2 linked regions of the Arabidopsis thaliana genome follow. The protein of the gene in region 2 interacts with the protein of the main gene of each other region in a pairwise test. Each region holds a gene or a part of one and is shown on either strand. Other genes may lie near its edges.

Region 1 (3,756 bases), on a different chromosome or scaffold from region 2:
GAAACTCTCGTTTCTCTCCAACATCAACTTCTCCCACAACCATCTAGAGGGATTGGTGCCACAAAGCACACAGTTTGGAAGTCAAAATTGTTCTTCATTCATGGGTAATCCCAGACTCTATGGACTCGATCAAATTTGTGGAGAAACCCATGTCCCCATACCTACATCGCTGCACCCCGAGGAACCTTTGTTGGAACCGGAAGAGACAGTTCTGAACTGGATAGCAGCTGCAATAGCATTTGGACCTGGTGTGTTTTGTGGATTAGTGATTGGACATATTTTCACTTCATACAAGCACAAGTGGCTTATGGCGAAATTTTGTCGAAACAAGCGCAAAACCACCATAGGTACTTCTTAACACTATCTCTCACAGTTCCTCTAAAAATTCATCTAAGTTGTTGTCGAGAAACTACCTCGTCATGTGTTTGTCTTTGTGATTTTTTTTCTTTTGCTTTGTAATTTTATGTTTGTAATATTTTCTCACCATTTGGTAATAAAATATGGTTCGTGTGATGGTCTATGTTTCTTAGTTATCACAATTTGGGGCTTGAAGCTTTCTAACAATCAATCATGCCATCTCTAAGTTATTGCATTTACTTTCAGAAGTAATACAAATTGTAAATTATTTTTTTAAACCAAAGAAGGTTTGACAAACAATTTTCCTAGCTATGAGTTTGACAAAACTTGGAATGGAAACTCTGACCTGAAAATCTCACGGCAGGGCAATCTCTTAGCTTCGTGCAGCTCTCTTCCCGCCACGGGCTTTGCTGCTTGTTGCCTTTTTTGAGGCTTCTTCCTCGCTCTTCTCATCATCACTTCTTCCACTCTCAAAGCTTTCAGCTTTGTCTGTCGACTCTTCCTCCTCAACTACTCTCACTGAATCTTCTTTGTCCCTTAGTGCTCTCAGTTTTGCCTTCTTTGCATTTAAAACAGAAAGAAACTGCATTGACAAAAAAAAGAAGTAACTAACAGATCATAAAAACCAATGACTCTAGTTTAAGCAAGAACAAACCACGATGTGGATATTAAGCAGAGTAACCAAGGTGATCGAATAATTCATACCTTTGCATAAGTTGCACTCTCAAACTCTGTTTTTTCGTCACAGAGTTTTTCACCTTGCGCTAGACATCTCTCAGCTTCACTTCTCATCTTCTCAAAAGATCTCGTCTTGTTCACCACTTCTTCCTGTGTAAACACTAAAGTATTGAGAGATTGACACATATCTTCCAAACACAAATCAAATTGCCATTTCTAACAAAGCATAGATCAAAGAACTTAAGCTCTAATTCATCATCATTCTCAAACATCACAACAAATCCTCACAATTCAGAACGTACAGTATAAGAGTCATACACTTAGCCTTATGTTAGCCTCCATAAGAAAATCCAAGATCCCAACAGTGATCTTCTTGCTATCATCTGATGGTTTACATTTCCACCTCCACTCAAGTTTAGTCCCTTCCTTCTCAAACGTCCAAGAGAGCTTTAACCAAAACACAATCAAAGACAACAACAACATCCAAAAATCTCAGGCTTACTTCAAAACACTAACGAATGATCCAATAAGAAGATCACTGACCCGTTTAGATCCCTCTAGAGCATCGGAGAAACTATAGACCGAATTAGGTTGTTGAAACCCTAAGTATTGCTCGGCGAGCTTTAAATACTCTGACACAGGCTGGTCCCATTGTGCTGCTCTCTCCGCCACTTCCTCCTCCGTCGCTTCAATTTCGAGCAAAACCAAAATAAAAATCAGATTCGAAAAACGCTAGAGGCTAAGTGATAGTGTGAATTTAGGGTTTTTTTGTTTACCATTGCAAATCCAAGAGGAGGAACCATCGGTGACGGAGATATCGAAACGAGAATTATGCCAAGTGCCTTTGACGAAAATTGGATCGGCGCCGGAGATTTCGAGACGGAGACAAGTGTGTTTCGTTTTCTCCGATTCAACCATTGTTTCGATAAAAGTCGTCGACGAAGATTTTGAGTCAACTCCGATCATAATAATGTCTATAATTTGTTTTGGTTTTGCTTACGTGGATGCTGAGTCAGCTTCGGTATTGTTTTTTTTAAAATATATTTAGTGATTTTACTTAAAAGAAGTTGTTAAAAAAAAAAAACTCCCATTACATATAGACAATTTAAGTAATTATTAATTTTTTTTTATTTTTTTATCACAAGTAATTAAAAATTAACAAATTACTGTTTTCATTCAGTAAATTAATTAGTAATTATTACTTTGAAGCTCATCAAAAGATTGAAGAATATCTAAATTAGTTTGGCAAATCTTTGTATTTTGTATCCTAACCGAAGCTTATCTTTAATAAATAAAAAATCCGTTAAATGTTGTTACTTACATTTCTTTTTAATTTTTTTAATCATACTTTTTTCTAATAATATACATATAATAATAAAAATGCCTTTTAAAAGAAAAAATTATATTATGTGTTTTCCTTTTTAGTATATTGAACTCAATAAGAAAGTAACTCCACCACTATTGTTGGATGATAAACGATGTTAATATGGCATGGCACAATCGTATGATAAGAGTTCATGCAACTGTGAATGAGACGAAATGCAGTTATACGGATTTGAAATTTTTTCTAAAGTTTATTCAGGTCGCGCCTTAGTGGATTTTATACAATGACGTGATTTTTTTTATGTATAATGTAAAATTAAAATAAGTAAAACTTCTATAAATTAACAGTCGCTCATCAATAACTAGAGTCTTGTTTCTTAAAGACGATGACGACCTATTAAGTTATCTTAATGAGAATGTGGACGATATTGAGCCCGAGTGGTTTATTCTTGACATTTCCACCATTCGTAGTGCTATGATTGGAGCAGCGGGTTGGCCTTCGTCCATCCCCAACTACAATCCCAAACATATCATTGAGAATTTGGGGTGTAGATTGTTAGGACTTCAATTAAAGCAGCTACATCATTAATACATAATTTGAACGGATCAATTGAGGAGAAAGCTGAAGGATGTGGTTACACAATTTCTAGAGTTTTCACACAGGATGAGGATACAATTCATATAACTAAACTCTGCAAAACAATACAAAAAAAATTGATGTAGTAAAATAATATAATTGAACTCTGCGTAAAAAACCAAACAATACTAAAATCATATTTTACTAAATTTTCTTACATATATTGATATTAATAAGTTTATACAATTCTTAGTTTATGATACTAATGAAACCATATATTTCTATAGGATTTTTGAATAAATTATTACTTTATTTATTTTATCAAATAATGTTAAATATTATATTCACTTGACTAGAAACCAAATTTTTTTATTAATTTATAGTGATTACTAATTTATCGAATATTAATCAATAGATGTTTTTTGTACAATTTATTCACATGTTAAATTTAAAATTACAATTGTGCTCACTTCATTTCTTTACTTAGTCTACATTATCTGGATATCGTATAATTATTAAATCGTGTTCATCATCACTGTAAATATACTATTTTAGATTTAACTTTAGTGAAATATGCATATAAACATTAACATGTTTTAAGTTGATTTTCATATTTAAATTTATCTTATTGTAATGTTGATTTTTTTTTTGGCAAATTGACAAATTTATTTTGATTGTTCGAGCATAAGAAAATAACTGGTTACTATTATAAGGTACATGTTAAACTATTAATGATGTCACAGAATCTTAATTAACAAATGTATTTGTCGCTAAAGACTTCAGACTTCTAGTTGTCTTTTTGGTTTGTAAAATATTTTGAA
Region 2 (3,756 bases):
ACCAAACTGGAAGCAACTCGGGAAACCTGAACCATCAAGCAGCGAGAATAAACACTGCATTTTGGAAAAGGAAAGGTCAGATTCCTTACCGTTCGCAGGAAGACATCATCCACATCCATATTCGACCGGCCCAGTGTCTCTGGGCTAAAACCAGCAGGAACCATATCTGGCCCAGTTATAAATATTGTATTCACTACTCCACCATTTCCGCTTACAAATGGTTGGTGCTCATCGTGCCGCCATTCCCCATCAACAAAAAACTTATACTGCATGAGAATGAAATAACATAAATGTAACATTAGTGGCTTCTTAAGCATCTCACATTGTAATAATTAAAATCTTGTTATATATAGTACATCCAACTGCCAAAATATATGAATCTCTATACACACACTGTAGCCTTTATTAAAAGAAGTGATTTAGGTATCACACAGCATGAAGACCCCAACTTTTGTTATGTGGATGGTGATGTATAAAGTCAAATTTTGATCAATTAGCAAGGAAATTTGCAATTTTCAGCCACAGTCATACAAATATGACAGAGGTATATAAGATTCTCATTGCATAGGTTAAGTATCCAGAGACTAAATGAAGCACAATTATGGACATCGCTAAATCACTACAAGGACATAAATGCTTCTGCAGGGATTAATTAACAAAGAATTTGCCATGATACAGGTCGAGTACAAGATTATTAACCTGATGATATCCTGGCGTCAAGTTGCAAATGACTTGAAAAACAGTAGGGCAGCCCTCGAGCGGTGACATTGGCACATGCTCTGTCCACCTGTTCAAATGCCCATTTCAGAAATCAGTCCATGGACTGCAAAACCCCGATAGATACTATACAGAGCACATACTCTACACAAACCCCGATAAATAGCTTAACTGAAATATAAAGTAAACTATCCTAGTTCAAGCTCAGTCATCTCACCTGGTGAAAGATCCGCTTAGGAAGACTCTTCTACCTCCATAAGGCCACACGAAGCGTGTCGGAGTAAGAAGCTGCCCTGAGGCAGCGCTGTTTCCACGGCTGCTATCCAATGTAGAACCAAACATCCCCTCCCAGTAGTTATATAGTTACAATCCACAGAAACTAATTCCTAAAAACCTTCTGAATCGATTCTTAATGCGTAAAATAATCTCGACTCTTCAGCAGAAGAAACAAAACCCGGTGAAACTTCAAACTTCAACGCTTACACATGCAGAGAGTCCGAATTCAATAACGCTACCATAAATTCCAGCAACCAGTAAACCGAAACCCTAAAAGCCCAAATCACGATCTACAACGAAATTACTGAACTCTTCCCCCAAACCTAGGTAGAGAAATTCCACCAACACGAAACCTTGTAAAAGAGCCCTAAACTCAAAGCACGAACGATCTGGCTACAAAAGCAAAGGTCAACTGATTGACAATACACACCACCTGGAAAACGTAGCTGAAAAATTCCGAGGAAAAGAAGGCAGAGGAAGTCGCGGCTCTGATCTTTAAATTCGGGGAGTAGAGAGACCTCGATGATGATCGGAATTGATTGAAGGGAGGGAGCAAGAATTAGGGATTTGAAAAGTTGGAGAGAACCCTAAATAGAGAGAGTGGAGATGGCATTGTTTGGATCTGGGCAAGGAATGATGTTAATGGTCTTTCAAGGTGAAGAAGAATCTGAGGGCGAAGAAGCGCTGCGTAATGAAAATGTTGTTTTTAATCCATCGACAAAGATATGGTTTTTTTTTTTTTTCTCTTTTTTATTACTGTATACAGTTTTTCCGATAACATTTAAAAAAAAAAAAAAAATTCTACTTTTACATAACTGATTATTCTTCTCTTTTTTCATAATAAATAACTATATGAATTATGCAAATAATAGCATCTAATATATAGTTTTAGTCAACTATCTAATAAATCATTTCCTATATATATAATATATCACATAAATGTTATGAATAAATTAGACGAGGATCCAAGTTATTAAAAATATTTCCACTTTAAAATTGTATCTAGTAAATTCTTTTTTTGGTATTATTTTTTTAAACTCATTTGTCTTTTCTGATGTTAAACAGTACTATAAATCAAACAAAACCAAACTAACATTCAAAAACGTTTCAAAATACACTTTTCTCTTATTCTCTTGTGTTTTGAAGCAGGGTAAATAAATAAAGTAAAAAGAAAAGCCATGTTTTTTTTTTCTCTAATTTTTATTGTGTCAACTCTTATAATTTCTTAAATTAAAGAAAATAAATCATTACATCCCACACCAATTTATTATCGGGTTAAACATAATCCATGAAATTACATTGTACATCTATTCTCGGTAGACATGTAATACAGGGAGACAATCGTGTTGTCTTCCAAGTTGACATTATTTGAGGGAGAGGAGACTTCATGTTTGAACCCTAGGCATGCAATTACATTTTATAGTAGATTTAGCCTTAGAAAGACCTGTAAATTAGGGCTAAAAGCCTAAAACCAAAACACGACCTTGAAGAAAAAAAGAGTTCGGTTTCTAATTAGTTTTATAAACTCTAAATAATCGAAGTGATGTAACTTTTATTTGTTGTGAGTATATATTTTTAAGTTGGATTTGAACTTTCTTATAGACATGACTTTATATAAGTGTATATATCTCGCTCTTACTCTAATGTTGTTTATCTTTTTCCTCAAAACGTATATAAGTCCCCCGGCCCTCTCTTTCAGTACTATTCTATATATACACTTACTCTATCTGTCGGAAAACAGCAAATGAGAAAGACATTTGTAAACAATGGTCATTTTGGCTTGTTGGTTATTGGGCAGCATTCACGGTCGCTGGCTAGTATGGACAATTGGATATATATACTCCTTTAATGGTCATAACTTTCATCTCAAAATCTTGATCGCTATATTTGGGCATTGAAAAACAGGCCAACAAAGTTTTTTTTTTTTATCTCATAAGGGCTCTTTTTAATATTTGGAAAGTCTTCATTTGGTTACATATTGTTAGAACATCTTTGGCTCTCGTCCTAAACATCCGTAACTCCTTCGTCGTAATTCTGGTTATGTATATGATCTTTGGCTCGGGAACTAATTCAAAGAGTTCTTTCTTCTTCTTTTCTTTCAGTTATGGGTTTTGCATCAGATTTCGAGAAGAATTTCTTTAGCCTCCACTGAATACATTTTTCTCTTAGTCTAAACAACTCTCCAATTACATCACATATGCTCCTTCTTTCTTTCTTTTTTTTTTTGATATGAAATCAATCAAAGTGAAAAGCTTAGATTATACAATATAGCATAGCCTAGTTCTTTGTAACCTTGCCCAAAAAGGAATTTAAGGAAACATCAAAGCTGGGAAAAATATTGGGAGACTAACGCGCAAGCAGTTTCATTGATGGTTCTTTCTCTTTCGGGTACAAAAGTCAAAATCTGAGTTTATCATTGATGGTTCTCTTGTAGGCAATTTCTGATGGTTCTCTTTTTCTCCTTCCAAAATAGATAGTCCATAACTCTTTGTCCGTAAGTATAATTTCGATGATTTTTGTTTTTTGTTTTACGAGAACGTTCACGTCACCAGAAGTATAATATCATTGAAATTAGGTTTGGAAGATTACACAGTTTTGTAAAAATAGTTAAATAATTTGTATACCAATTTTTCTTGCACATTCTTTATTTTGTTTCTCGTCAGTCAAACGAAAACCTAATCTGAAATATATATGTGTTCTTACATAATGCCAAGCTTTAAAATTTCATTAGAAATGAGTTGTTCCCGAATAGTCCACTACTAC

The links. Proteins that work in one complex are often made in the same cells at the same time.
Region 1: the proteins of SNF4 (region 2) and XRCC4 interact in a two-hybrid assay, tested with the Arabidopsis thaliana proteins (one study listed by BioGRID).

What each region holds. Positions count from the first base shown.
Region 1 is NC_003074.8:8,218,966-8,222,721, reverse strand, and holds the start of XRCC4 (DNA ligase IV-binding protein), read right to left. Parts: upstream 2,041-3,756; 5' UTR 2,002-2,040; coding exon 1,812-2,001; intron 1,722-1,811; coding exon 1,579-1,721; intron 1,483-1,578; coding exon 1,354-1,482; intron 1,186-1,353; coding exon 1,063-1,185; intron 941-1,062; coding exon 731-940; 3' UTR 704-730; exon of another isoform or gene 574-703; intron 359-573; coding exon of another isoform or gene 1-358. Other genes in the region: RLP37 (receptor like protein 37), read left to right, coding at 1-358. UniProt on the Arabidopsis thaliana protein: May be involved in DNA non-homologous end joining (NHEJ) required for double-strand break repair. May bind to DNA. The LIG4-XRCC4 complex is probably responsible for the NHEJ ligation step, and XRCC4 may enhance the joining activity of LIG4.
Region 2 is NC_003070.9:2,903,154-2,906,909, forward strand, and holds the start of SNF4 (sucrose nonfermenting-like protein), read right to left. Parts: upstream 1,710-3,756; 5' UTR 1,060-1,709; coding exon 935-1,059; intron 788-934; coding exon 700-787; intron 267-699; coding exon 90-266; intron 1-89.